7 linked regions of the Mus musculus genome follow. The protein of the gene in region 6 interacts with the protein of the main gene of each other region in a biochemical or structural test. Links are inferred from orthologs where the notes say so. Each region holds a gene or a part of one and is shown on either strand. Other genes may lie near its edges.

What was found.
Region 1: the proteins of Prkn (region 6) and Ube2z form a complex in vitro, tested with the Homo sapiens proteins (2 studies listed by BioGRID). The link is inferred for Mus musculus from reciprocal best matches to the Homo sapiens genes PRKN and UBE2Z.
Region 2: of the proteins of Prkn (region 6) and Mtor, one has a biochemical effect on the other in vitro, tested with the Homo sapiens proteins (2 studies listed by BioGRID). The link is inferred for Mus musculus from reciprocal best matches to the Homo sapiens genes PRKN and MTOR.
Region 3: the proteins of Prkn (region 6) and Ube2g2 form a complex in vitro, tested with the Homo sapiens proteins (6 studies listed by BioGRID). The link is inferred for Mus musculus from reciprocal best matches to the Homo sapiens genes PRKN and UBE2G2.
Region 4: of the proteins of Prkn (region 6) and Mfn1, one has a biochemical effect on the other in vitro, tested with the Homo sapiens proteins (3 studies listed by BioGRID). The link is inferred for Mus musculus from reciprocal best matches to the Homo sapiens genes PRKN and MFN1.
Region 5: the proteins of Prkn (region 6) and Ube2e1 form a complex in vitro, tested with the Homo sapiens proteins (2 studies listed by BioGRID). The link is inferred for Mus musculus from reciprocal best matches to the Homo sapiens genes PRKN and UBE2E1.
Region 7: of the proteins of Prkn (region 6) and Ccne1, one has a biochemical effect on the other in vitro, tested with the Homo sapiens proteins (2 studies listed by BioGRID). The link is inferred for Mus musculus from reciprocal best matches to the Homo sapiens genes PRKN and CCNE1.

Annotation. Positions count from the first base shown.
Region 1 is NC_000077.6:96,058,520-96,062,387, reverse strand, and holds part of Ube2z (ubiquitin-conjugating enzyme E2 Z), read left to right. Parts: intron 1-1,263; coding exon 1,264-1,451; intron 1,452-3,868. UniProt on the Homo sapiens protein: Catalyzes the covalent attachment of ubiquitin to other proteins. Specific substrate for UBA6, not charged with ubiquitin by UBE1. May be involved in apoptosis regulation.
Region 2 is NC_000070.6:148,535,570-148,539,437, reverse strand, and holds part of Mtor (serine/threonine-protein kinase mTOR), read right to left. Parts: intron 2,928-3,868; coding exon 2,679-2,927; intron 2,077-2,678; coding exon 1,976-2,076; intron 1,576-1,975; coding exon 1,479-1,575; intron 1,163-1,478; coding exon 1,064-1,162; intron 976-1,063; coding exon 853-975; intron 711-852; coding exon 528-710; intron 312-527; exon of another isoform or gene 208-311; intron 1-207. UniProt on the Homo sapiens protein: Serine/threonine protein kinase which is a central regulator of cellular metabolism, growth and survival in response to hormones, growth factors, nutrients, energy and stress signals.
Region 3 is NC_000076.6:77,620,748-77,625,301, forward strand, and holds the start of Ube2g2 (ubiquitin-conjugating enzyme E2 G2), read left to right. Parts: upstream 1-1,573; 5' UTR 1,574-1,626; coding exon 1,627-1,669; intron 1,670-4,554. UniProt on the Homo sapiens protein: Accepts ubiquitin from the E1 complex and catalyzes its covalent attachment to other proteins. In vitro catalyzes 'Lys-48'-linked polyubiquitination. Involved in endoplasmic reticulum-associated degradation (ERAD).
Region 4 is NC_000069.6:32,570,928-32,574,795, forward strand, and holds part of Mfn1 (mitofusin-1), read left to right. Parts: intron 1-3,306; coding exon 3,307-3,441; intron 3,442-3,868. UniProt on the Homo sapiens protein: Mitochondrial outer membrane GTPase that mediates mitochondrial clustering and fusion. Membrane clustering requires GTPase activity. It may involve a major rearrangement of the coiled coil domains.
Region 5 is NC_000080.6:18,328,729-18,333,079, reverse strand, and holds the start of Ube2e1 (ubiquitin-conjugating enzyme E2 E1), read left to right. Parts: upstream 1-1,235; 5' UTR 1,236-1,393; intron 1,394-1,945; 5' UTR 1,946-1,978; coding exon 1,979-2,130; intron 2,131-2,153; exon of another isoform or gene 2,154-2,184; coding exon of another isoform or gene 2,185-2,216; intron 2,217-4,351. UniProt on the Homo sapiens protein: Accepts ubiquitin from the E1 complex and catalyzes its covalent attachment to other proteins. Catalyzes the covalent attachment of ISG15 to other proteins. Mediates the selective degradation of short-lived and abnormal proteins.
Region 6 is NC_000083.6:12,061,096-12,063,971, forward strand, and holds the end of Prkn (E3 ubiquitin-protein ligase parkin), read left to right. Parts: intron 1-445; coding exon 446-558; 3' UTR 559-2,271; downstream 2,272-2,876. UniProt on the Homo sapiens protein: Functions within a multiprotein E3 ubiquitin ligase complex, catalyzing the covalent attachment of ubiquitin moieties onto substrate proteins. Substrates include SYT11 and VDAC1.
Region 7 is NC_000073.6:38,097,438-38,101,305, forward strand, and holds the end of Ccne1 (G1/S-specific cyclin-E1), read right to left. Parts: intron 3,265-3,868; coding exon 3,118-3,264; intron 2,448-3,117; coding exon 2,352-2,447; intron 2,166-2,351; coding exon 2,031-2,165; intron 1,922-2,030; coding exon 1,810-1,921; intron 1,713-1,809; coding exon 1,555-1,712; intron 1,201-1,554; coding exon 1,078-1,200; 3' UTR 547-1,077; downstream 1-546. UniProt on the Homo sapiens protein: Essential for the control of the cell cycle at the G1/S (start) transition.

The sequences.
Region 1 (3,868 bases), on a different chromosome or scaffold from region 6:
GGGTTCAGATAACCTAAATCTAGGGTTTTAAGCAAAAACCAGTGAGTTCAGATTTCCTAAAGTAAAAACTCAGCTTATATATTGTTACAGACTTTTTTATTTTGAATAGACTTTCTTTTAAATTATTATTATTTCTTTTCATGTGGTTGGAAATATTTTTCCGGTGACATACTGTCTCCATTCAAATGCTAGGGTATGCTCATCTCTGAGGCCTTGAAATTGATGCCAGTTGACTTTACTATTTCCAGAGTTTGCAGACTAGAATATAACCTACTGTGTTGCCAGGGCAGAGTAGGATTATAGATTTGAGGCATGAGAGTACACGGTCTTTTTCCCTCTTGCTATTTAAATTCTGAGCATACTTAAATCATTAGTTACGAGCCTTTTAAAAAAAACATAGAATTGAGTCAGCTCAGGTTTGCTTCTGTTCTTGAAGAAAAATTGTGTTCAATAATGGAATAATTATGGCTTGTGGAAGAAGAGAACTGAACATAGTGTTACGTTTTAAGGAATACTGATTTATTTATTTTATAACAGTGTTGGAGAAACTTTTGGGGGGATGGTCTATTGGCCATGAGTAGACCATGAAATTTTATTTATTTATTTGTATCTTTGACACGGTAGTTTTGATCCTCTGGAGGAAGCAAGCAGACAGCCTTTGCATCCATGTAATTATCAGCTCTGCATTGTTGTTGGCGCTGGTCTCCCCTTTTCCCCTTCTTATCTCTCTCTCTCACACACACTCACACACACTCACACACACACACACACACACACTCACACACAGAGAATGGACTTGCATCATAAGCATGATTAACCTTGGCAAATCCAAGCATCTCAGTCAAAATATGTACTGATTTCCTAAACGAATAAGCTTAATTTCACACTGTATAGTTGATATATTTAGGTTCCAATTGTTGTCCTTAACACCAATCAGGGAGGTCTGGTGGGAAAAACAAAACAAAACTTGTTTTAAGGTAATATTGACAAGGGTCACTTTTTACCTTGGACATTAACTTTTGAATATAACCTCTGAGTATGGCGTGTGATGCTTACTCCACTATGATGGGATTTCCTTATATTGAAGACCTATGTACATGAGTGAGCCCAGGTGGTTCATTGTGTCTGGGGAGGATGTGGAATATAAACACCAGGCAATGCATGCTGTTGGTGACTGCTTCTGGTGGGGGGAGCAGGTGGAAACTAGGAGGGGTTGTGGTGGGGCATCACCTCACAATTTTGAGATGGGGTTTTATTTTGCAGATTCATGCTTTGATCACAGGCCCATTTGACACTCCTTATGAAGGGGGTTTCTTCCTGTTCGTCTTTCGGTGTCCACCTGACTATCCCATCCACCCACCTCGGGTCAAACTGATGACAACGGGCAATAACACAGTGAGGTTTAACCCCAACTTCTACCGCAATGGGAAAGTCTGCTTGAGTATTCTAGGGTAAGAAGAGACTTGTAAGAGGCCAAGTTGGTATTAGCAAATAATCACTCTAGGACAGCCTTCATCAATTAGGGTTCCTCTTCTGAACCCACCGCACAGTGTGATTGAGTATTCAGTTCTCTGGGTGGCACGTGACTGGTGTCATCTAGATGGAAAGGAAGAAGATCACGTTATTACATGTAAGAGTGTCTTAGGAAATGGTTTACTCAGTGCAGCCTTTGAGCTGCCTGCCACAGCAGCATCTGCAGATTTGAAGGTCCCATCCTACAAGTGTATCTCAAGCTCTGGGGTGTGGCAGCCGTCTGCTTTTTAGAGGCCGTACGGATGGTTATGCTCTATGCCCCTTTGAGAACTACTCCCTTAGGAAACATTAGGTCCTTATTTTCCCCAGAGGCTTGAGAAAGACCCCAGGTCTGCTGTATTCATGCAATGGGTGTCTGATTGGAGCCTCTTAGTGGGCGCCTCTGGAGGCAGTGGTGCTAATAATGATTATGAGAATTTAACAGTTGATTAAAAAAAAATTAAGTGCTTGGAAATAATACCCGAAATGAAATGGGTGTCACGTATACCCTCCAGGTCCTACTGGGAAGTTACTTTGTGGAGTTCTTACTCATTCCATATCAAGATACTTGTAAGATATTCAGAATGAAGAATGTCTTGTAGCCTGCTTTGGATCCTTTTGCAGTCCAGGTTTCCTTGAGGTAGAGAGTAAATCTGGGTTGAATAGTGAGGAAGTTGCTGTAACTCGTGATGCTGTTTGTTTCTTGCATCCAGCACATTTCTAGGATTGTGTATGAGAAAGGCAACTGAAGCACATTAGAAATGTGGGGTCTCTCTCTCTCTCTCTCTCTCTCTCTCTCTCTCTCTCTCTCTTTCTCTCTCTCTCTCTCTTTCTTTCTTTCTCTTTCCCTAGAACTCTCAAATCTAGAGATATGGTATACTCTTCTGGGATTATAGCAGCTGGAAAGTTCCATTGAAGGAGATTATGTATAATAAGTCCTTCATCTTACTAGGCTACATTAGTATCTTTGCTGGTGGGGTTGGGTGTGTGTATGTGTCCCTTGATAGTATGGAAGTTAAGTCATGGGTTTGGTATGAAGTTTGTTCTTGAAAGTATGTGTGTAGTAGGTTTTCCCTCAGTAAGCTATTATGAAGCCATCCTGGATACCAGCTCATACAAAGATAGTATTTGAGTGAAAGCCACAGAAGTTTGTTGCACGGTATTAAGAGATCCACCCTGAAACAAATTTTACAGGTCAGAGTCCTGGAGTAAGAAGGTTCTTATGTAGTTTTAGTTGGCTATATTAGCTTTTTGGCCTAATCCCCTCTCTTCATAGCTGGAAGTAACTGTCAGGGTGACTAGCTGCTGAAATGTTGTGAGAACTAACCCTGTTGATGGGAATTGCTGTATGGAAAGTGGGCAACAGCACTGGAAGAGAGCAGTCGCTGCAGTTTCTAATCCAGACTTGGGTCTTCCTTCAGTGTACAAGTGAAAGGGTAGTGGTTAGTTAACTTAAGCCAGTCGTGGCTAAGGTTGTGTTCTGTTTCCATCTCTCATACCATCTTGTTAATTAATTGAGCTAAAATAAATACCTGTCATGCATGGTAGGACAGATTTCTGTAAGTTCAAGGACAGCTTGGTCTACTTAGCAAGTTTTAAGACAGCTAGGGTTACATTAGTGACACTCTACCTTTAATTAATTAATTAATTAATTAGTAAGTGACACCCTGTCTCTAAATAAATAGAGGAAGGAAGGCATTGACGTTCAAGTGCCCCACTCTAATACCTAAAGTGGTTTAGCCAGGAGTGGTGTAAGGGCGGAGGCAGGAGGATTGCTTTTAAATTTAAGAATAGCCAAGGTTGTGTACCAAGACCCAGTCTTAAAAGTGGGAGTGGGTGGGGGTGGGATATTTTCCCTGGTGTTTAAGTTTTCTATCTGTTATTTTAGATATTGTCCCTCCACATTCTGAAAATGTGCCATCGTTTCTGTCTTAGTAGAGTTGTGTGTCTTCAGAGAATTTGACTCTGCTTGTCATATTACAAAGCTGAGTCTATAAACTTCAGCGTGTATCCTCATAGGCAGTAGCTTCAGTCACCTTTATGCCTTTGATTAGCTGCTCTCCTTTCACCAACCCTGTCACCAATAACTAACTATAAGCTCTTTGAAGTCACAGGCTAGCATTTAGACAGCCTTTAGAGTTATTTTCCCTAACTTGGGTTCCTGTTTTGGTAGGATGGCCTTCCTTGGCCACTTGTTTCTTTTCTAGATCAAATAGAATTTTCAAAGTTGTTTTTCTTGCTTGCTCTCTGTTTTCTTCTCTCTCATTTGATAAGAGAATTTAGGCATTTGACTATTCTGGTGAGTGAGGGTAAACCAGAGGCTGGGAATTTCCCAAGTGTTAATAGTGAAAGAGCA
Region 2 (3,868 bases), on a different chromosome or scaffold from region 6:
AGAGATGGCTCAGCGGTTTAGAGCACTGACTGCTTGTCCAGAAGTCCTGAGTTCAATTCCTAGCAACCACTTAGTGGCTCACAACCATCTGTAATGAGATCTGATGCCCTCTTCTGGTGTGTCTGAAGACAGCAACAGTGTACTCATATACATAAAATAAATAAATCTTTTTTAAAAATTGGGTTGCTACAACAATTACATTTAAAAAAAAATATGGAGCACGTCACGAATCTGCACATCATCCCTGTGTGGGGCTGAGCTAATTTCTCTGTAGTGTTCCAATTTAGTGCATGTGCTGCTGAAGCAAGCACAACAGTTACATTTCTATTTTGTTTTGTTTTACTTTATTTTTCTGGGCATGAGTTCTAGGTCTACGCTGGCCTTGCATTTGTAATTCTGCACAGAGCACTAAGATGACAGTTTTCTATGCTGTGACTTCTACTGGGTACCACTTTTAAGGACAGTAGAAAGGTGGAGGAAAGCAGTCTGGGGAGGTAGGATAATGTTCTGTCACTCTGATCTCATACCTGATTAAAGGATGTTTCCTTCAGAGTCTGGGGACCCCGTTCCATCATAGCATGCAGGGGCTCCAGCACCTCAAACATGCCTTTCACGTTCCTCTCCCCAAAGTACAAGCGAGATGCCTCTTCCAGGCCTTCATGCCACATCTCATGCCAGAGGATGGCTACCCGAATCAGCTCTTCACTCACCTGGATTAAAGGGAGAAAGAAAGATACACCACAGGAAGCTACGATTGGGAAGGTCTGGCTTGGAGACAGAAGACACAGCATGTGCCACGAGGGAGAGAGGTAATCACTAACACCCCTGGCTGCTGCCTCAAGACCGACTCACCATCATGGCCTGCTGGACCAGCGTGTTGCTGTGTTCACACATGTTCTTCAAGATCTTGTTGGCTGCATTGTGACGGGCTGTGGTGGTAGACTTAGAAGCCACCGTCAGGGGGTAGATGAGGGCCTAAGCAAACAGAGGAACACTTGTAAAGGCGAGCCACCAAAGCAACAGTCAGTGGACTCACGAGAAGCTGCTCAGGGTCTGCATGTACCTGTGGGTGGTACCGACCAATATCTGTGAGAAGCTGGTGAATGAGCCGGCCCACCAAGGGTCTGGGTGTGTCAATTCTTGCAATGAGCTGAGGTATAACCTGGTTTGGAGGAAGATAGAGCAAGCAGCACGTGAGACGTAGGAAAGGTGACTGATTCTCATGTTTTCTTCTTTGTGTTCTAGACAAGGCCCCATGTAGCCCAGGGCAGTCATGCGCCTTTTGCCTCTACCTCCCATGCACTGGGATCTCAGCGTGTACTTTGGTTTAGCAGGTCTTGAAATGGTGTACCCATTCAGTTTCCTAGCGTAGGCAAGGGGGAGTATCTGGTTTGGAGCTTGGAACCAAGCTGTGCTTCTGTGACCACTGGTGATTTCCAGAGGACCGCGACCCATCCTCACCGTCACCGAGTTCTCACCTGTAACCAAGTGTCAATCTGTATGGCCTTCACCCCTTCCACCAAGGCTTCATTGACATCTGGCCAGTGACCATAATCAAACCACAGGGTGAGGACTCTGGAAAGACAGGACAAAGTTACAGAGAGTTGGGTTTCCTGGTTCTTGTTCATTTTTCACCAGCAAGGCAGTGAATGACTGTGACAGGTAGCAGAGCTCTGAAGCCCAAGTGCTTCACCACAGGTTGGCCAGGGTCACCGAGGCACAAACTTGGCTGTAGAAGTGAGCTGGGCAGCTCTGTCCGTGCTGGGGAGGTGCCTGTCTGCAGGATGGGCAGCAGGGAGGCTGATGGGACAGGCCTCGACCCTTCCCTCTCCTCTTCCTCCATCCTCACGGGTGAGGCCTGGTAAGCTATCGGGTCTCATGGCCCAGGAGGAAAAAATGTCCCTATGCTGGCCTGAACTGTACTGACCAGAGAGGGTGACTTCCTTTAGTTACATCCTCCCCACTTCCTTTGTACCTTAGTGTATCCTGGAGGTTGTTGCCTCTTGACAAGGAGATAGAACGGAAGAAGCCTTGAACAGCAGGGACAGTGTACAACAAGAGAGTTTTGGATAAATCCTGTTGAAACACAAGTATATTATTGAAACTCTACTCTCTTACCTGTAAAATGGGCACAGTTGAACACTGATGGCACTGCCTCAGAGGGTAGGTAGGAGTGTGAGACACTGATGCTTGAGGAGCCAATGGCATATAGAATGACTCCACAAAGGCACCTGTTTTCATAATGATAGTTTGGCATAGTATGGCTTCCTGAGCAGGGCAGTAGGGGTGGAGCTTAAGGCTCTGAACATGCTGTTCTCTGTACTTTCTGGCTGCCCTGTTACAGTGTGAGCTGACAGGCCAAGGGGAGAAGACAGGGAAAGAACAGGGCAGAGGACATATCCGCAAGGCCCTGGCCTCAGTGGCCCTACAGCTGTGGCAGCCACCCACCCACAGGAGCCCTGCACTGAGAGAATGTGCTCATTGCTGGGAGAAGGAGCCTTGCTTCAGTCTGACGGTGCACACACGCCTGCACCCAGGGAGCACAGCTTCTGGCATACAATGAGGACGGCCAGGCAGTGTGTCCAGCCTGTGTACCCTGTCTCAGAGAAAGCCCAGAGTTTCACAGCCATCTTCTGTGCAGAGCCGTGCCCCAGCCTGTTCTGAGTGAGGGGAGTTACCTCAGTGACCTTCTTCTGCAGAGGGGACGGGGTGGGGCTGTTCTCATTGCTCTCAGCTTCACTCTCACTGTTGCTGCCCTCTGTGCTGGTGGCAGCAGCAGCAGAGGCTGCAGTGGTGGCTGCAGTGGTGGCATTGGTGATGTTGGCCCCGCTGGCATGACGCAGCTTCTTCTTCTCATCACGGGCTTGGTTCTGATGTTTGTAGTGTAGCACTGCTTCGAAGTTCATCACTGCCCATGCATGCCAAGCCTAGGTGCATGGGGAAGAGTCAAAGGCAGACACAGGCTAGTTCACGTCTAATGCAAAGCCCAGCGAGGTGGAAGGCTGGATTCTGAGTGTGCCTTAAGATCAGCAGAATGCGTCTCCATTGCTACATACTCCCAGGAAGTGGGCCTTACTACGATCAATGTAGCTCATCTTGAGAGCAGTAACGGCACTGGGCTTTTTGGTGAGCACTGTGAGGTCACAACCAGAGGGTCAGTGTAAGCAAAACTTAGGGCAGGTAGGGGCTAGATAAGGTGGGCAGTGGGATACCAGTGATCTGAAGGGCTCCATAAAAAAGGGATTTGGCTAAGCCTTGCCTTGAACAAGGAGGGAACAGAGACAGGCACTTGGTGTTCCTGGCAGGGAAAAAAGAAAGGCACATGGAGGGCATGTGTGCAGCTTGAGGCCCGCAAGAGTCAGGGCCGCTGGCCAACTGCTAGAGCACCAGACAGTGGAGTCTGCATGCTAGGCCAAGGCAGCTGGCTTCATCTCAGGAAGTGGGGCTTCCTGAGGTCCCCGCCCCCAATTATTTTATATTAATGGATGCTTTGTCTGCATACATGTTCTGTGTATCACATATATGCCTAGTACTTAGGATAGCCAGAAGAGCATACCAGATCCCCTGGAACTGGAGCTATAGGTGGCTGTGAGCTGACTAACAAGCAAACCTTCACTGGATGTATTTGCCAGCTCTGGATATGTAGCTATCAATAGAGGAGAATCATAGCCTGCACTCTGTGTGTGTGCATGTGTGTGTGCATGTTGCTGGAGATGGAGCCCCTTGCTCTGTGCATGTTAGGCAAATACTCTCTCACTGAGCTACATCCCAAGCCAAAGTGCACAATTTTCAGATCAGTGTGAAGCATCTGCAGAGGACAAACACTTTTTATTCCAAATGTTTCTATGGTCTTCAAATCAACTTTGAT
Region 3 (4,554 bases), on a different chromosome or scaffold from region 6:
TATCATGGCGGCAGGTGGCTCCAAGGCGGCAGCAGTGTGTGACAGCTGCTTACTCACCGGGTAGCTGACTGGGAAGCAGAGAGAACTAGAAACTAAGCTAATCCTAATCTCAAAATTCACCCCTATCCAGCTAGTGGAGGTTCCACCCTGACCAGCAAACATGTGGGCACGACTCACATTCAAACTGTCGCAGGGAATCGGGGCTGCCACATCATTTGGATGTGTTAGACTAACTTATGCTTCTACAGGCAACAGCAGGAGGAGCAGTGTGTCCTCGAGGCCTCCTTTTGACTTGTGGGTGGGGCATGCTTGGGAGGGTTATGCGTGTGGGATTTTTTTTTTTTTTAACCTTACATGTAATTGGAGTAGCATCCTAATATTTTTTTTCTTTCTCAAGATAGGGTTTCTCTGTGTAGCCCTGGCTGTCCTGGAACTCACTCAGTTGACCAGGCTGGTCTCGAACTCAGAAATCGGCCTGCCTCTGCCTCCCAAGTGCTGGGATTAAAGGTGTGCACCACCACTGCCTGGCTCTAATATATTTTTTTAAAAGATTTATTTATTGTATGTAAGTACACTGTAGCTGTCTTCAGACACCAGAAGAGGGAATTAGATCTCGTGACAAATGGTTGTGAGCCACCATGTGGTTGTTGGGATTTGAACTCAGGACCTCCAGAAGAGCAGTCAGTGCTCTTAACCGCTGAGCCATCTCTTCAGCCCCCTTAATATTCTTTTTTAAAACGACAAATGTGATGAATCTAATGCCTCAAATCTTTTGAGTTCAGCTTCTTATACTCAGGGTCCCAGCAGGAACTTTCTCTTTGTCCCTACACCTAGTCCTGAAAGCCCCTTTTTTCGGAGAGCCACGTCCCGAGCTGTATCCCTCATGTCCACTTAGCGAAGGCAGTGGTGCACCTAAGAAAATACCAAGCATCTATCTGGCAGTTCCGTATGATGAGGAAGTACAGCTTACTTGGCAGAGTCTGAGTTTTTTTGGCCAGAGAGGATGGGATATGGCCCGGGAACTTTATCCTTCCTTTGTGAAACCAAGGTACTCTTTCTCTTGCTAGAAGTGTCATCTCAAATCACCTGGGCCTCAAAAACCAGGTGTAGTGGCACTTGGGAGACAGAGGTAGGCAGGTGGCATCTCTGTGAATTCGAGGCCGGCCTGGGCTAAATAATGAGTTCTAGGACATTCATGCCTACAAGGGGAAAGTTTCACGATCTGGACAGCCACTTCTGAGGGGCGAGCCCAAGCGCAAGGACATGAGTCTCATTCAGGAACAATCCATGATGAGCCATTAGCTCTCGCACTATTTTTCAAGACTAAAGGGCCGCAGGGCGAGCTGCGCAAAGCCTCACGGCGGCGTAGGAAACCTTCAATGCTGAGGGTGTGGCCGGCCGAGAAGATTCTGGAAGCCGAGCTCCGTCGACCCGGGCCATTACCCGGGGAGCGCGAGGCGAACCCCAGCGAGCCTGTCTGAAGCACCCGGGTGCGCCACGTCACCCGCGCGCGCCCCGGATGCATTTGCGCCCGGAGCCCGCGACCCGGAAGCAGTCGTGGGCGTCGGAGCGGGCGGGCGGGACCGGCGCGGATGTGGCGAGGCTGCTGAACGCAGGTTCCGCGGTATGGCGGGGACGGCGTTGAAGAGGCTGATGGCCGAGTATAAGCGTGAGTCAGGCGGCGCCGCCTTCCTGTCCTCTTCCCCATAGTCGCCCGCGGCGTGGCCCGGCATGGCTCGGCTCGGTGCGGTGCGGTGCGGGGGTACTGGGCCGGGCTGCGAGATTCCGCGTGCGGATAAAAGGCCAGGCTGTCGCCGTCACCTGCGCACCCCAGCCAGCGGCAGCGGGGCTGGCCCTGGGCTCAGAAGCCGGCCGGGGCAGCGCCGCCGTGGCCCTGCCACCCGGGTCTGGTCCCTAAGCCCCTGTGTGCTGCGCATCTGCCCTCCCGACAGTTGATGCTGCGGGGCGAGTACCGGGTAATCCCCGTAAGGTGGTCGAGCCGTCGAGGGGAGTTGGGGGAGAAAGTTAAAAATAAACAAGATAACGCCTCAAACCCCCGGCCACGCCGCAGGTGCGAGTTGCTGGGGAAAACCAAAGTTTCTCGGACACGGGCTCCGGACAGTTTCCTTGGATCCGGATCTGTTTTTCTCTCTGTTTTACTTTTTCAGCTCTGTGTCTAGATTGAGACACATCCCCTTTATCTAAAAAAGAGGGAACAGCATTTAAGCTCCGGGACAGGGGTTTAAGTTTTGACCACTTCTACCCAAGGGTATTCACATTAGAGAAAAACTTATCCGCCACAAAAAGCCTCTACTCGTACGTCAGACAAAACGTATTGTCACTTAATTTGAAGTTAAGGTTGTGAATCATCTCCGTGTGAGAGAGAGAAGGAATTTGGTTAAAGAGGGAACTCTAAAATAGGAAGGCTGGCGAGGGGCTCAGGGGGTTCACAGAGGAGAAGGACTCCACCTGCTGTGGCTTCTTGGAAGAGGAAAAAAAAGGGCAGGGAGCTAAGGGTGGCCCCAGGCTGACAGCTAGTCTGGGACCAGTGTTACAGCCATACGGAACTGAGTTGTGCCAGCGACTTGAATGGACTTGGGTTGCAGCCCTGAAACAACCAGCTGTCTCGGCTGGGCCCAAGCCCACATGGAAACCATGAGGTCATCAATGGATATTGTTTAAGCCTGTGGCAGCAGTGATGGAAATGCATCCAGCAGTACAAAGCACGAGGAGCGAGGGAGGGAGGGAGGTTTTTTCCGTGTCCTTGTGAATTCAATAAAAGTCCCACTGAGTGTTTTTCTTCCTTTATGGTATAAAAGGTTTGTCCTCTGTTTAAGACCATGTACTCTAGTATTAGGTAGATTCAACAGGAACATCCAGGTTGAATTAGAACATCCGAGGTTGGGCTAGAGCGAAGGTGTTCTTGCATACCTGATTGTACTGTAGATTTAGAGGCGATATGACCTTGAGTGTGGTTCATTGTCTAACTTTTTTTTAATGTGTTTTTTATGTGTATTTTTATGAGTATTTTGATTACACATAGGTAAGTGTGTCATATGTGTGCCTGTGCCAGTGGATGTCAGAAGATGACATCAGATCCCCAGGGACTGGAGTTACAGCTGGTTGTGAGTCTTTGTGTGGGTGCTGAACTAGAACCTGGATCTTCTGCAAGAGCAACAAAATCTATGAGTCATCTCTTCATCCCTATTGTTTTTCAGGCTCCTTGTTTTTCTTTTATAGCAGTTGAATAACAGATATAAAACGATTAGACTGTGGTCATATCACAAAAAGAGCCAAGCGAAGACCTTAGACTGCTCCCAAGTGCAGTGTCCTGTGCACGCAGAGGCGGATATTGAATGTCCCACTCTGTCGCTCACTCTCCACCCTCTTCTCTTGAGACCAGGCCTGTCATTGAACCTGGAGCTCATCAATTCAGCTAGAATGGCCAGCCAGTTAGCCCCAGACATCTTCCTGTTTCCTCCCTTGCCTCCAACTCTGGGGCTACAGGCACCCATGGTAAATAAAGCCTGCCTCTTTTTCATACGGGTGCCAATACTCGAACCTGGTTCCTCTGTAAGAACAGTGTGTGTTCTTGTGTCCTTGTCATATGTTTCCACAGCTTTTCTTCTTACTGTGACAGACAAGGGAACAGTGGTCCAGGGCTGTTGTAACATTGTCACCACTCAGATACCATAACAGACAGCATCTCATGGTTTGGAGATAGAATTAGAAGCCCACTTGTGGCCTGGGCTGTCACCCTAGGCAGGGTGGGCTTTTGGGGAAGGTCCTTCCTCCCTCTCAGCTCTAGAGTGCTGGCTACTGCGGGTTACTTAGCTGTGCTAGTGTAAGTCCTTCCTCTCCTGTACCTTCCTGTGGCCATCTGAGCCTGGGTGTGTCGGTATTCAGATTTTTCCACTTGAAATGTCAACAGTCACTGGCTTAGGGCCCAGCCTAGTCAGAATGTTCTGTATTTAATTCTGGTACATCTGCTGAGACTGTTTCCAGACAGTGTCACAGTTCCCACATTGGGGTAGACTTGAGATTGTTTTACAATGACAGCTGTTTTTGTGTATTTGTGGGTGGGCAGGCGAGTGCCACTGTGCATGTGCAGAAGTTAGGACAACTGACAAGGGTCACATCTCCCTTCTGTGTGGAGCCTGGGAATTTCGAGCTTGGCCTGTCAGACGAGGCAGGAGGTGTCTCTGCCCACCAAGGCAGCACGTCAGAGTAGGGGCGTGAACCAGAGCAGAGCTGTTCACCTAAGGCCAGACACGGGAGAAGTAGAAAGGCTGGGTCCCTGCATTCCCCTTAAGGATCTGCTCTCAGTGCCTCCCCTGCTTGTTGCCTGGCCATGCTGCTGCTCCCTGCTATGATGCACTGCCTTTTCATAAGCAGGCATTCTCTCATCTCAGGTGACTTTCCTCAGGCACTTTGTTACAGTGATGGCCAGCTGAATAACTCGGTGTCCATGATACCCTGCTTGCAGAGCAGAGCAGGACAGTGACCTAGAGTCTTCATCTTCCCAGCACCACCAAGAGTTAGCGACATACCGAG
Region 4 (3,868 bases), on a different chromosome or scaffold from region 6:
TATTTGTAAAAATATATTGAATTCCCTTAAAACAAGGTGCAGTATTGTGTATTTAAATAAGCAGCCCCAGAGGCTCTCAGCCTAAAGAGGACAAAGCAGATTACATGTAGGGGAAGGGAAAATGGGGGCAGATGGCACCCCAGCAGGTAATGCCCAAAGAGAGCAGCCCTTAGTAAAGGCTTTATGGGAGCAGCTGGCATACGAAGTGTATTCAAGAATATGAAGAAAGAAATTCTAGTGCGGACAGTGTGGGTTCAAGGGATTTGACTTCCTGGACAGGGCCTTCGATATGCAGAGATTAGAATCTGGATGATTGGATGTTTCAGTAACTTAGCTCTGAAACCAGTCACTTTTAGTGGTGTACTATATGGAATTATTTAGACAGGAGACAGGAATTAACTAGTAAAACTGAGACACAAGGTCAAAACAAGAAGTGCTGCTGTTGTACCATTGAGGTCATTGTTGTGGCCCTTAGTTTTTAAAACCAGCCAGGACTGCTGACTGCCTTTCTCCGTAGGCAGTGCACATGACTCCTTTGGATACCATTAGAGCTTGTGCTTCTTGCATGTCAGTTCTAGACAATTTCACCAGGTCTTATGTCTGAGGTGATGTGTGCTGTCTTCAGCAATATGGTTTTACCTTCAAGTTCTGGGAAGCAAGCAACGTAATAGCCTATGTAGTTTTGAGAACTCTCTTATATTTCCCCTACCTAGCAACTCAAGGGGAGGTGTTGCTGTAATATATTAATCCATTCTCCTCACCCTGTGGCAGCATGAATTCCTTGCTATCACTCCAGTGTTGTGGGTTTTTGAATGAAAGACATATATACACAGCCTTACTTTTAATATTTTAAGCAGCTCAATGGTGGGGCCGCTCCCAAACCTCCACTAGCACACACTCCCCTCTCACATTCCTGAATTATTACTTAGTAAAACCTATATTCCACCCTGGCTGACCCAGCCTGCAGCCCTCCTGGGCCGCAATCCCCATCTTACGTGTTAGCTGTCTCTCTGTCCTGAACTTCTCAGGCCTGACCCTTTTACTTTGCTGGCATGGTGGTTCTAAATCCATCTTCTTCCCTGAGTTCCCTTGCCCAGGAAATATAATGTCCCCCCTCTTTCTCCCTGCCCAGCCATCGGACACCGGCAACTTTATTTTCCAGTCAGATCCAGCTGGGGGCAGGGACCTTCAGCACCTCTCATACTGAATTCTTGTGCGGTTTTGGGAACCCGTAAGGCAGGCATTAAAGCAAATCCACAGCAGGGAGGTTTTCCATGCATGGCACTGAGATTTTTGCTAGACACTCTGACTCTTGTGGGGAGTATTACCACCCAAAGTGGTGAAACTTCCTTTAAACTCTGTGTGTGTGTGTGTGTGTGTGTGTGTGTGTGTGTGTGTGTGTGTGGGTGGTGGGGGCGGGTGGGGGGATCCAGAGCTAGGATCTATAAATAAGATAACGTGTAGCTGGGAGGTGGTAGCACATAGCTTTATCAGTCCCAGCTAAGGTAAACAGGTCTCTGAATTTGAGGGCTGAGTTCCAAGATAGCCAGGGCTACCCAGAGAAATCCTGCATCAGAACAAACAAACAAAAAAAAAAATCGGGGGAGAGAGAGGGGGAGGGAGCTAACTGACAGAGAGAGAGAGAGAGAGAGAGAGAGAGAGAGAGAGAGAGAGAGAGAGAATGAGAATAGGTGTTTGTCTTTCTGGGTATGGTTACCTTCCTCAGTGTGATCTTTTCTAGTTCCATCCATTTACCTGAAGAGTTCGTGATTTCCACTTTTTCCAGCAGAACAGTAATCCGTAGTGTGTGTATTTCTATCTGTTCATCAGATGAAGGCTATTTGTGTGTTCCATTTCTCACTGTGGACAGGTGCTAAGGAGGGTGATGGCTGAGCAAGTGTCTATGGTGGGGAGGGGAGGGGGGTCTACTGGGGTGTTTGCTGAGCAGTGGGACGGCTGGGTCATGTGGCAGGAAGATCTAAAAATCCACAAATATCTGTGCCAATCAGTATTTAGGGATAGGAGATTTCCTTACGAACATGTGTTAGTGTATACTTATCCTGTATTGGTTGGGGTATTCAGCTGTGGCAGGGACTTACCTAACATTCATGTCTGAACTTGCCAACCAGGATTCAGTTACCCATGTATACATCTCTCTCTGCTAAGCAGAATGTTATTTCCCAAGGAAGTCTTGGGAACTTAAACTTTACTTGATCTCTACTCAAAATGGATGTCTTATTCCAAATAGCTTCTTATATTGGTGCAGGTCTTTCTTCTGTCGGGGTCCATCCCAGGGGCAGCTTACAAAGGCAAGAAGCCCTAAAAGCTCAAACACAGGCGCAGGCAGTGCTGCTGGGTGGTTGGTTCAGTTCCAAGCTTACTGAGGTAACTGTGCAAAGCAGGGCTGACTGATTTCTACTGGGATTTGATTGGTCTCCAAGAACACCAAAGTAACAGCACTAACAGTATATGAGAAAATTTCCTTCTATTAGTAATAGCACAAAATGGTAGGCTACACAGGTAATAGTTACCTAGGCCTTAACATGTCACCTATGCCTTAACAAGATGAAACCTCAGAGTTGTTCTAATTTGATTGCTAAGAATACAGAATAGTTTTTGAGATATTTCTTATCCATTTTTCCTTCTCTTGAGGACTATGTTCAGATCCAAAGCCTATTTTTTTAATTAGGCAGTTTGGGGTTTGTTTGTTTGTTTGTTTGTTTGTTTTTGATTCTTTGTCTTCTTTAGTTCTTTTTAAGTTCTGGATATTAGTCCTCTGTCAGATTCACAGCTGTCAAAAACTCTGCCCCCACCCCCACCCCAGGGGTCTCTTCACTTGGCTGATCATGTCCTATGCTGTGTAGAGGCTTTGTAAGCCTTAATTCCTGAGCTAATGGAGCTCTGTTCAGAAAGTCCTCTCCTGCATGCCCGTCTTGTAGTGCTGCCTCATTTATTCTAGCAGTCTTAACGTCTGTCTGCCTTCTGCGTGGTCACATCCCGTTTGTATTCACGGCGCTCTGGCTGCAGTCTTTAATTACAATAACGTTTATAAGTGCCGTGCTGCCCTGTGGCTTAGCTATGAAAGATTTCCTCTTTAGCTGAGGAGCATAGTGGCCGTGCCTTTAATCCCAGCACTCCAGAGGCTGGGCAGATCTCTGAGCTTGAGGCCAGCCTGGTCCAAGTTCCAGCCAGGTCAGCCAGGGCTACACAGAGAAGTCCTGTCTCAAAAAAAAAAAAAAAAAAAAAAAAAAGTTTTTCTCTTTAATATGTGATCATTTTAGGAAACATTCACTTTTTTTCTTTTAGAGAAATGGCCACTACTTTTGCTCGACTGTGCCAACAAGTTGATGTTACTCAGAAACATCTGGAAGAGGAAATTGCAAGATTATCCAAAGAGATAGACCAACTGGAGAAAATACAGAACAACTCAAAGCTCTTAAGGTAAACCTTTTGTTGGTTTTTGTTGTTGTTTTTGAGACAGGGTTTCTCTGTGCAGTCCTGGCTATCCTGGAGCTCTCTCTGTAGACCAGGCTAGCCTCACACTAAGATTTGCTTGCCTCTGCTTCCCAACTGCTTGGACTAAAGATGCCACCACTGCCTGGCTTAAGGCAAACTTTTTCACCATCAATAACATGAATATCTAGTTTTGTCTCACATTCAAAATGTAGTTACATGAAGTCATTAATGACTTTGTAAATATAACTTTTAAATTAACTTCCTGCGTTGCTTTAAATTAAGAATTTCCATGTTTGCGACTGGAGAGATATCTATCATTTAAGAGCTGCTTTTGTAGAGGACCCTACTTGGGTTTGGTGGGTTCCATCATCCACATGGAACTTACAAAACTGAAAAACCTCTATACAGCAAA
Region 5 (4,351 bases), on a different chromosome or scaffold from region 6:
GGTCTGTTCCCTTCAGGGTAAACGGCAAACTGGTAAGAAACTAAGTCCTAATTTAATGGTGGAATTAAAAAAAATAAATTTCGGTACAGTGCCACACAAGGAACAATTTAGTGGCATTGTTGTGTGATTATCCTAAAAATATTATTTGAATAGCATCATATTGGAGTAAAAAGAAAGTAGGGTGCTTTCTAGAACTTTTTTTCCCCATTACTAAGACTCAGACATATCTAATTTAAGAATTCCAAATCCTGAGGCAGGCGGATTTCTGAGTTCGAGGAGAGCCTGGTCTACAAAGTGAGTTCCAGGACAGCCAGGGCAAGTCCTGTCAAAATCATTGGCTCAAGGTTTATTTTCAGTGATCTTATAATCCCAAGCCCGGTCGTAGTTACCTGTCCCGAACCCCAATTGCATACATTAAAAAAAAAAAAGTCCACATCCTTTTCAATAACAAGTGAAAGGGGAAGGAGGGTGGTATCTAGTATAAAATTGCACATGCCTGGTGTCCTGAACAGAATCCCAGTCTGGGTTTTTTCTCACAGGCGTGACCTCTGCTCCAAGCACGTAATTGCCAGAGGGAGGAACAAGTGTCATCAGCTCAAAGGAAAAACCTGTTAGGGGTCTTTTCCTTTCCTTTCCTTTCCTTTCCTTTCCTTTCCTTTCCTTTCCTTTCCTTTCCTTTCCTTTTTCCTTCTCTTTCCTTTCCTTTTTCCTTCCCTTTCCTTTTTCCTTTCCTTTTCCCCCTTTCCTTTCCTTTCCTTTCCTTTCCTTTCCTTTCGTTTCTCCTTTCCTCTTTTCTTTTCCTTTCCTTTCTCCTTTCCTCTTTTCCTTTCCTTTCTCCTTTTCTCTCCTTTTCTCTCCTCTTCTCTTCTCTTCTCTTCTCTTCTCTTCTCTTCTCTTCTCTTCTCTTCTCTTCTCTTCTCTTCTTTTCTTCCATTCTTTCTTTTCAAACGAATCACTTTTGGGGAGGAGTCAAAGTCCTCGCCAGGAGAGTACCATCTTTTCCCCACACCGGCCCCCTCACTCCCCAGCCTTTTCCCAAAGCCCTCCTGGGAAGAACTTCCCCTGGTCACCCCGGGCTCCACCTGCCCCAGTGGCCCCCAATCCCGCCCGGTTGCCTCGGCTCCGCCCGGCGCGGCGTCCCCAGGCCAAGCCGGGGTCGCTCGGGGCTCCCGGGCCGCGGCCCCCAGGTGCGGCGGGGGAGGGGCGCGGGGCGGGGCGGAGAGGAGGAGTGGCGCGGAGCGTGTGCGGCCGGGGAAGCCATTGCCTGGTTAATAGTTGCTGTTGCTGCACTTCCGCTTCTCTCCCAGTGAGAGCGAGACACGAGTGGCCAGGCCCAGTCGCAGCCGCAGCAGCAGCCGCGGCGGCGGCACGGAGCAGCCAGACACAAAGAGAGGTGCGGGGGCCCCTCAGGGCGGGCGGGCCGCGGGGCCTGGGGCCGCGGGGCCGGGGGACGGGCGGCACCGCCGGGCCGCGGGCAGCAGGGCCGGGCGACCGGGATGGCGTGGCGGGCCCGGGCGGCGGGGGCCGCGCGAACTGTCAGAGCGGCCCGGTCCCCGCGGGGACCCGCCCGCCCGGGGCGCATTGTGCGCGTCGGCCTGCGAGCGCAGCCCCGCGTGGCCCGGCCTGGCCAGGAGCCGTGTCCCCGCGGCCCACGCGGCCCACGCTCGGCTTGCTCACCCACTCTCGCTGCTCGGCTCGTCCCGACCTCGCCAAACTCGAGCGGACGCCGGGAGGCCTGGGGGACCGCGGCGGCGGCTCCCGGCCCTCCCCGGGCCGCCCCCGCGCGATCGTGGCCCCCGTGTCTCTTCGGCCGGTGCGGCGGTGGGCCCCGAGCCTCTGCAGGCAGCGGGGGCGGCCCGGCCCGCGCCCTCCTGACAGCGGAGTTCCTTCCCTCTTTGCAGCGCCTGCATGGTCTGTGTTTCTGTTTTGTTTCCTCCCCCTGCAGGGGCCGTTCGCGGGGTGGGGTGGGGGGTTCGCTATGTCGGATGACGATTCGAGGGCCAGCACCAGCTCCTCGTCATCTTCGTCCTCCAACCAGCAGACCGAGAAAGAAGGCAGCACCCCCAAGAAGAAGGAGAGTAAAGTCAGCATGAGCAAAAATTCGAAGCTTCTCTCCACCAGCGCTAAGAGGTATCCCACTCCTTTCTCCACAGGCATCCGAGCTTCCCAGTGGCCTCGTGCTGCATGTCAGGGAGGGAGGCTTCAACGACGTTCTCGTGAGTTCTCAGGCAGGAAAATGGGGCATGGGAGTCCCACCTGTTTTCTCTACTGCTCGCTGCTTCTGGTTTTGTTAGTGCCCTCGTCCATATGCAGGAGTTGTGGTTGGCCTCGTCCGTTTCTTGTTGAAGTTTCAAGAATCCTCATTACTTTTATGAGTGACTCCCAATGTGATTTCAGAGTCTTCATCCTAGTAATCACGAATCTCTGACTTCCCGGAGGCTGTCATCATACTTCATTATTAAGAGTACCTTCCTGGGCAACTCTGTTAAAACTAGTTCTGACCATCTTTCTTCCTCTTCACCTGTTGCAGGGGTGGTGTTTTCTGAATAGGGTTTTCTCCATACATCGCTTAAGGAATAACTAACTCTCATTAGCGGTTAAAAGAATGTCATGTTTTCTGGCAGAATTTGAAGAACCTTTGCCTGTTTGGAGAGTTAAGGGAGATGAAAGAATCAGTGAATAACTGTAAAATTATTTCAGTTATTTTTGGATTTTTTTTTTCTTTTCTGTTTAAAAACTTCAGTTTGACACTTTTCAGAAAGACTTGTTTTACTAGACAAGGTCTCTTTTGGCCCAAGCTGGCCTTGAACTTAGCACTTCTATCTCAGCCTCTTGATTGTTACAGAAGTGAGCCACTTAGTTCACCCAGCGATAATCTCTCTCTTGTGTAAAAAAAACCAGGTGGATAATTTACCTCTGTCAACCTTAAGTCACATTCTCTGATCCTGTGTTCCTTAAAATAATCTCTAGTAGATACCTGGGAGCCTGCCTCTCCTCTCCTTTCATACCCCCTTTTTTTGTTGAGATGGTTGGCCATAGTAAGGAACAGAAACTCGGCTGCTGGGGAATGGCATTCTTTAAAGAATTTTAAATGAAATGGAAGGTCTAAATGGCTTCGGGTCTCTCTGCTGAGTAGTGAGCCTGGAACTCAAAGATTGTCAGTTTGTTCTGTTGTTTTCCCTGAACTGAAATTCAGAAACTTGGTATGCTGTCTTAGTGAGCTAACTGGACTGATAGAGTAACTTCAGGTCATTTTAAATGGTTGCTGTTGAGGTCTGGAGAGATGGTTGATGCTTTGGTAAAACTGTTATCAGTTTCAGTGGTCTGATTATATCTCAGTCTCTCCAGGGTCTTTGATGAACCCCTGTGAATCTCCCAGAACCTAGATTCTATCCTTCTTGCTCAGGATGGCCTTTCTTGATCAACCCCGGCCTTGAGCTCTCTGTTCTACTTTTGACCTGTCCTGCCCCAGTGCAGGACATTAGCTGTGATGTCACTCCTGCCCCAGTGCAGGACATTAGCTGTGATGTCACTCCTGCCCCAGTGCAGGACATTAGCTGTGATGTCACTCCTGCCCCAGTGCAGGACATTAGCTGTGATGTCACTCCTGCCCCAGTGCAGGACATTAGCTGTGATGTCACTCCTGCCCCAGTGCAGGACATTAGCTGTGATGTCACTGGGGCTTTTACGTTGTGCTAGACATAAGGAGAAAATGGACAGGTATACAAAGTAGTTTTCTTTTTGTCAGTATAGTACAAATAAATAGATTTTCCCATAGACACAGCTTGTGTATGCTTAAGGAACTTAGAAACTTAGTTCTGGGCATAGTAGTACAGGCCTTTTGTCAGCTCAGCCCTTGGAAACAGAAACAGACAGATAGATGTCCTGTGAGTTCAAAGTGAGTTCCATGAGAGTCTGTCTCATGAACAAAATGCCAAACAAAAACATGTAAAACTATTTGATAGCTTGGATAGTAGTGTACTGGCCTAGCAGGCTTGAAACATCATCAAGAATGGTAAGCCCAGGAGTAATGGTAATAATGGTCATGGTCATGGTCATGGTAAGCCAGGTAGGTCAATTCAGAGTTTTCCTTTCTAAGGATATTGAGGGTCAGAAGAAGCCAACTATAATGCACTGAACCCTGCTGATTTTTAGCTGGACCTTTTTCTCCAGTAAAAAGAAAAACAAACTGAGTGTTGACTGGAGAAGTTCCTACCCTCAGAAAACCTTTGGGAGTGAAGAACAATCATGGCATTCCTTGTCAGCCTGGCCTATGAGAGGCCACTCAGAAACAGCTGGTAAAGAAACATTAAAGTAGAAATGGCAGGCGGGAAATGGAGCCAACATGCAG
Region 6 (2,876 bases):
CCCAACTCCTGTTGATAAATTTTGTAGAGCCAAGTAACACTGAATAAATATGTGAAAAATAAATAGATATGAACCTCGGTGTATTTTATACTACGTAACTAAATTTTTAATATGAATTTAAAATCATGTGTTTATTATGGTTATATATTTTTTAAAATGAAGAATCGCTGTCTATAAAATGTGAACAATTTGTGTCTAAATGAGGGAAAAGAAGAGAACCTCAGATATGCAGATGGGATTTGTTCCATTTCTCTAGAGCATCCGGACCCAGGAGCTGCCTCCGCTGCTGTCTGGTTGTTCACTCTGGGTCAGTCTCTCTGCTCTCATTGCTTGAGGTTGTTATTCACTACAAGAGCTGTTTCTGGAATGGCAGGTTGGCACGGGGAACAAGGGCTCGCCCGTATTTGTTACAAACCCACAGCGTCTATGTCCTTTGTCCCCACAGGAGGATGTATGCACATGAAGTGTCCTCAGCCCCAGTGCAAGCTGGAGTGGTGCTGGAACTGTGGCTGTGAGTGGAACCGAGCCTGCATGGGAGATCACTGGTTTGACGTGTAGAGAGAGATGTCACTTGGCCCTGGACGCACAACCTCAAGGGAAACTCCGAAGATTCCTACCTTCCTTAGCCATTTCTTCTTCTCGATGCATATAAGCACATAAATGCGCACACACAAACACAGGCTGCAGATTACAGAAGCAGCCCCTAGATCCTTTCCAGGGCACCCACAGAAAACCACAGCACCCGCTGGCCCCAGGGGGAGGAGGCACTTTCAGCCTCTGGCTCACTCGAATGTCAGAGCTTAGATGAGGGTGCACCTTTGGTTTGGATTCTGTAGAAGCCATGAGTGAGGTGGGAAGTGTTTTCCAGGGTTGTTGCCACGCCCTGGGTAAGTAACACCTCTGAGGATTCTCAGAAGCACACTTGAGATCTGAGGAACGCTGCTCTCATGTAGTAATCATCTATTCCCAAAGGGCCCCCTGCAGTAGTCAAAACTATTTGTTTATCCCCCCAAATCCTATCTTTACAAATGGTGCTGATGAGATTACAACCCCTCTGTGTACTAATCAGCTTATCAACCAAGTGAGAACCTAGGAAAGCTAATTGGATGGCAGACTGCTTAAATCGCAGGGAGGACTCAGAAGCCAAACCTACTTCCGTTCGTTTCATTATCTGCAACTTTAGAAAGAAATGATCTTTTTTTCCCCCTGAAAAGATAACAAAGTCTGCAATTTGGTTTGGAGTATTCCTACTGCAGCCTGGAAGTTTAGCTTCACTGTGAATTTAACAGAGAAAGTGCCTATAAAGGGGGCGTTTTTAAGAGACAATCCCATGATGCTGCGCCAATGCTAACAACAGGGTCAAGAAACACAATGTTTATAGAAGGAGCATCCCTCGACCATCTGAATGAGAGTATGCCTGACCCCTTCCACCACAAGTGGGGACACCTCTGCATATCTGCTCCCTCCTCTGCTGTTAAGCCCCAGGGAGCCCCATCCACCCAGTGGTCCTACAGACAGGGCAATACACACACACCAAGATAGCCTTCAGATCAACATGCATCACACTCAAGTGTTAATCTTTCAAGGTTTTCTTTTCTTTTTCCTGTTTTTTATTTGTTTTGCTTTTGCTTTTTTTTTTTTTTTTTTTTTGGTGGTGGTGGGGCTACCAAACTTGAGGCCTAGAGCTAAAAATCATATAGAAATGATGTTATCTTGTGGTGTGAGGAAAGGCCAGCTGGCCTAAGTTCACACTTTTGTCCCAGTGGCCCTAGACTCCACCCAGCCAGCTCCCAAAATGAAAAGACCACCTGTCAAGCAGCAGTCAGGAGTCTGATGTCACCCATCACTATTTTTTTTCCATCATTGTGCTTGCCTCTGCCTCCTTCCACACCCGTGTGACGTAATCGCATTGGGAAGCCAGGACAATGTTTGCTGTTCTGCTTTGGGTAAAGGGACTCCCTGAAGCTCTGTGGCTCTCCAGTATGGTCCCTTTTCCTTCCTAACAGATGCATATGTTTTCTTCAGAATACAATAGTGATTCTTAAAATAACCCAAAAGACAGGCATCCACAGTGTGTGAGCATGAATCACAGCCTGCATTGTGTGAGTGTGAATAGTGGGATAAAAGTGGATGTCAGAAGAGTGGAAATCAAACCTCTGCAAAGCAATCTTTCTCTTTCTGTGAAGTGTATTAAGAAATACCTGAAGTCTGTGTGTGTGGTGGTACCCAGACTGTCAATCAATAAAGACCCAGACTGTCAATGAAAGAATCAAAAGCGTGTTTGTACCTATCCTTGGGATTGCATTTCTGATCAATTTTGGAGATGTGGGAGGGAAGATGGGCCGCATTTCTCTGTGACCTCTCATATGTGTTTATAGAAGGGGCATCTCTGGATCATCTAAACGAGAACTTGGAAGCATCAGCCACTGGGGGGGGGGGGGAATTGGTCTCTTTTCTTTCCATAATTAACCTTGGGGGCTCTGCTCTCCTAATTATCAGTATTTCAAAACAAGATCTCATTCTGAAACCTAGCAGTCACTTTCTTGCCTTGCTCACAGACTTGCCCAGATAAGTGTTAACAAGGGAAACTGGGTCTGGAGAGTCTGGAGAGATGACTTAGAGGTTAAGAGCACTTGCTGCTTTGGCAGAGGACCAGAGTTCAGCTTGAAAGTACCCAGAGGGTAGCTTGCAACTGCCTAAAACTCCCATTCCAGGGAATTTGATGCCCTCTTCTTATTTCTATGGGCTCCTTCAGGCGCATGGTACTCAGGCAGGTGGGTTTGAGCACGCGAGCACGCGTGCACGCGAAAACACACACACACACACACACACTATAGATGATAGATAGATAGATAGATAGATAGATAGATAGATAG
Region 7 (3,868 bases), on a different chromosome or scaffold from region 6:
GTGCCCAGGTTCATTTTCCTCTTAGAGGTAGTCTGAGGCCACTATGTTAAATTGTTTAAACAAAATGTCTTATATCCTTCATATTTGGGTAAGGGTGAAGACCATGCATTACAGCTCTATGACCTGTAATACTCTGGAGAGGACAGATGACACGAGTGAAACTCCCTGGGTGTGGAATGCCTCCACGAGACAGCTGACAATTACAGTGTGAACTGCTGCCTGTGTAGGGCATTGTGGGTGAGAGCCTCATGGAAGCCCAGGCTATATAGCAAGCTCTAGGCCAGCCTGGGTTGCATTGTGAGACTGTCTCAAGAATAAGGAAACTGGCCAGGCAGTGGTGGCGCATGCCTTTAATCCCAGCACTTAGGAGGCAGAGGCAGGCGGATTTCTGAGTTTGAGGCCAGCCTGGTCTACAGAGTGAGTTCCAGGACAGCCAGGGCTACACAGAGAAACCCTGTCTCGGAAAAAAAAACAAGAGAACTTGGTAGACCAACTCTAAAAGGCAACTCCTAGTTTCTGATACTAGACAGAGTTAAGAACAGCTGCTTCAAAGATAGTATTATCTTTATTAAAAATTGATAGACATAGCAGCACTTACAAAATAAGAGTTCATGAAGGCAGGACATGCTGTTGGCTGACAGTGGAGAAGGGCAGCCTAGGCCAGGCTGTGGGCTCTGCATCCCACACTTGCTCACAACCACTGGTCACAGCCTATCAACAGCAACCTACAACACCCGAGCAGAGGCCAGCAACCGCCATGGCGTGGCCTCCTTAACTTCAAGCTTGTGTCATCTGTGTGAAGAGTCCAGTGGGTCAAGTAGCACCCTCCTTAGCAGCTTCTGGAGCACTCAGTGGTGTTCTGGAGGTGGCTGGTGTACTTGACCCTATAGTTAAAACACCTAGCATTCAATAAAAGCACTTCCATCCAAGGCATCTTGCAGACCCCTGCTGCTCCGGAAGAGATGCACCTCTCCATAGAGCACAGCATCTGCAGGGGCTCCTGACCTCCAAGGCAGCACAGGGAGCTCCAGGCAGCTGCTTCCACACCACTGTCTTTGGAGGCAATGGCAGGTTTGGTCATTCTGTCTCCTGCTCGCTGCTCTGCTTCTTACTGCTGGGTGGGGGTGTCAGGACCACACTCGGAGGAGGAGAAATCCTATTCTGTTCTGACAATATGGCTTTCTTTGCTTGGGCTTTGTCCTACATAAGAATAAGAGGGAAAGTTGTCAAAGTTAAACAAAGTGTCGTTTTTCTTGCTGTATGTTTTTAATATGGAGGCAAGAGGGAGAAATAGCAAAAATTATAGTTAGGCTTGGTGGCAAATCCTACCACTTGAGGGGAGTCAGACTTCTGAGTTCAAGGTCAGCCTGGGCTATATCTAGTAAGAACTGGTCTCAGTAAACAACCCCCTCTCACCTAATGTCTATAGTATTCGCATACTGAGACACAGACTCTATGGACTAGAAACATTCTTAATGGAGTTAGAACTGGCTTTTCCTTAGGCAGAGTTGGTTAAGTACTTGTCTGATGGGAGGGAGCAAGGAGATTACTGACCAGCAAATCCAAGCTGTTGGTGTGGGTCTGGATGTTGTGGGAGTCTTCCATGGGGACTCCCCGGAAGTGCTTGAGCTTGGAACTTCCCATCTCCCGGATAACCATGGCGAACGGAACCATCCATTTGACACACTTCTCTATGTCGCACCACTGATAACCTGCCAGTAAAGAAGTCAGAGGCTCAGTCCGCAGCTGATAGCTGGCTTGTACCTTGAAGACACCTTGTCTGTGAACTCACAGGAAAGCCCAACATACCTGAGACCTTCTGCATCAACTCCAGTGAGGAGAAATGATACAAAGCAGAAGCAGCGAGGACACCATAAGGAAATTCTAAGCAGCCAACATCCAGGACGCACAGGTCTAGAAGCTAAGGAAGACAGGAGCACTAAGACAAGATGCCACATGAAGCTTCTAGAAGCCCCTGAGCTGTGGTGTGCCACACAAACACACAGTGGGCAAGCAGAAGGTCCACATACCTCTGCGATCTGCACGAAGACCTGCTGTGGGTACTGAGGCATCAGCACCTCACCCGTGTCGTTGACATAGGCCACTTGGACATAGACATTCAGCCAGGACACAATGGTCAGAGGGCTTAGACGCCACTTAAGGGCCTAAAGGAAAGAAGTGACAGTTGTGAAAAGCTCAGCCATAGTCCCTGCCACATGGCTAACTGGATAAGACCCACGGTGGTGGTGGGCACACCACACCTTGCAAGGGAAAGACAGTCTCTCTCTGTCTCTCTGTCACACACACACACACACACACACACACACACACGATATTAATGTGTAACCTGCCTTCATCATCATCAATTCCATGGTAAGAATTTCATCCCCGGAGCAAGCGCCATCTGTAACATAAGCAAACTGGTGCAACTTTGGAGGGTAGATTTCCTAAAAGGGAACAGAAGGAAGATGCTATTAGAAGAAACCGTTCCTAGCACTTTCAGATTAGGACATGCATCCAAAATGGCTCTAGTATGCTGACGTGGAAAGAGGATACAATCAATGGCTCAACACTGGCTCACTTCAGCAACTGAAAGCATGCTAGCTATAAGAAGTAAAGCTAGCTGGCTGTGGTGGCCTTTAATGTCACAACTCCAGAGGCTGCTGGATCCAAGCAAGCTAGAGCTACAGAGATTCTGTCTCAAAAAGACTCATGGATAAACTGCTTAGACTTCTTCATTCACCCTATAGTCTATAAAGAACCCCACGACAACCCTTTTTATATTATTTTGAGGGCATGCAGGCCTCAAACTGCCCATTCTACCTTAGCTGTCTAAGTGTTAGGATCCCAAGTGGGAAACCACTATGCCACAATTTCAATCTCTTCAGTCCCAAGGTCAATTATGGTTAAAGTAGCTACTAAACTAAATGATCTATGGCCTTGTTCCTTACCCGCCTCCACCTGACACTGTCTACCTTAACTTAGAAGCGTCAGAGTTAAGAGAATTCAAGGTGCATATGACAGTTGTTCATAGGGGCAGAATTTAAGAAATAATGCTTATCACACAAAGAATGTTAGGGAGGTTTTGTTGTTGTTGTTGTTTTTGTTTTTTTTTACCTCAAGTTTTGAAGCAATAAATAAGGCTGAAATCCCAATAAGCTGTAAAAGTGTTTTTATGATATTATGTTGTGATGCCATGTAACGATCAAAGAAGTCCTGTGCCAAGTAGAACGTCTCTCTGTGGAGCTTATAGACTTCGCACACCTGGGAAAAGGATTCCATGTTAGAAAAGGCTCCTGAGGGGCAGCACAAGCGAACTTGCCTGACTTTTGACACAGTAAGAAAGCTAACTGCTTTTATGCAAGGCTGTCACCCTACTCCTCCTAAGCACAGCCCAGTGAGACCCAGGAACTGAGCACACTATGACTTACACAAACAGCAAGAGCAAATCAGCCAGGCTAGGTCTGACCAAAGTAGCACTTTTATAGAGACCACTCCACAAAGTCTACAGTTCTAAGAATGCAACCCCCTTCACAGGTTTCACCGTGACTCAGAAAAAGAACTGGTATAGTCTTCACTGCTGAACAATACCAGTTACATTTTCTTTTTGAAATAGGGTCTCACTGTGTAGCCCTGGCGAGAAATGGAACTTGTTCTGTAGCCCAGGCTGGCCTTGACCTCAGAGCTCCACCTGCCTCTGCCTCCTCGAGTGTCCACCAGCACTGTCAGCAGCTTTTCTTTCTTTCTGCAGTAGTGAGGATGTAGTCAACAGGCTGTGCCATAACACCTGGCTTATACAGTATGTCTAATCTGTACAACTCTGCAACCTACTTCCTGAAGATGCTAGAGACAAGCAAGCAGACTGGAG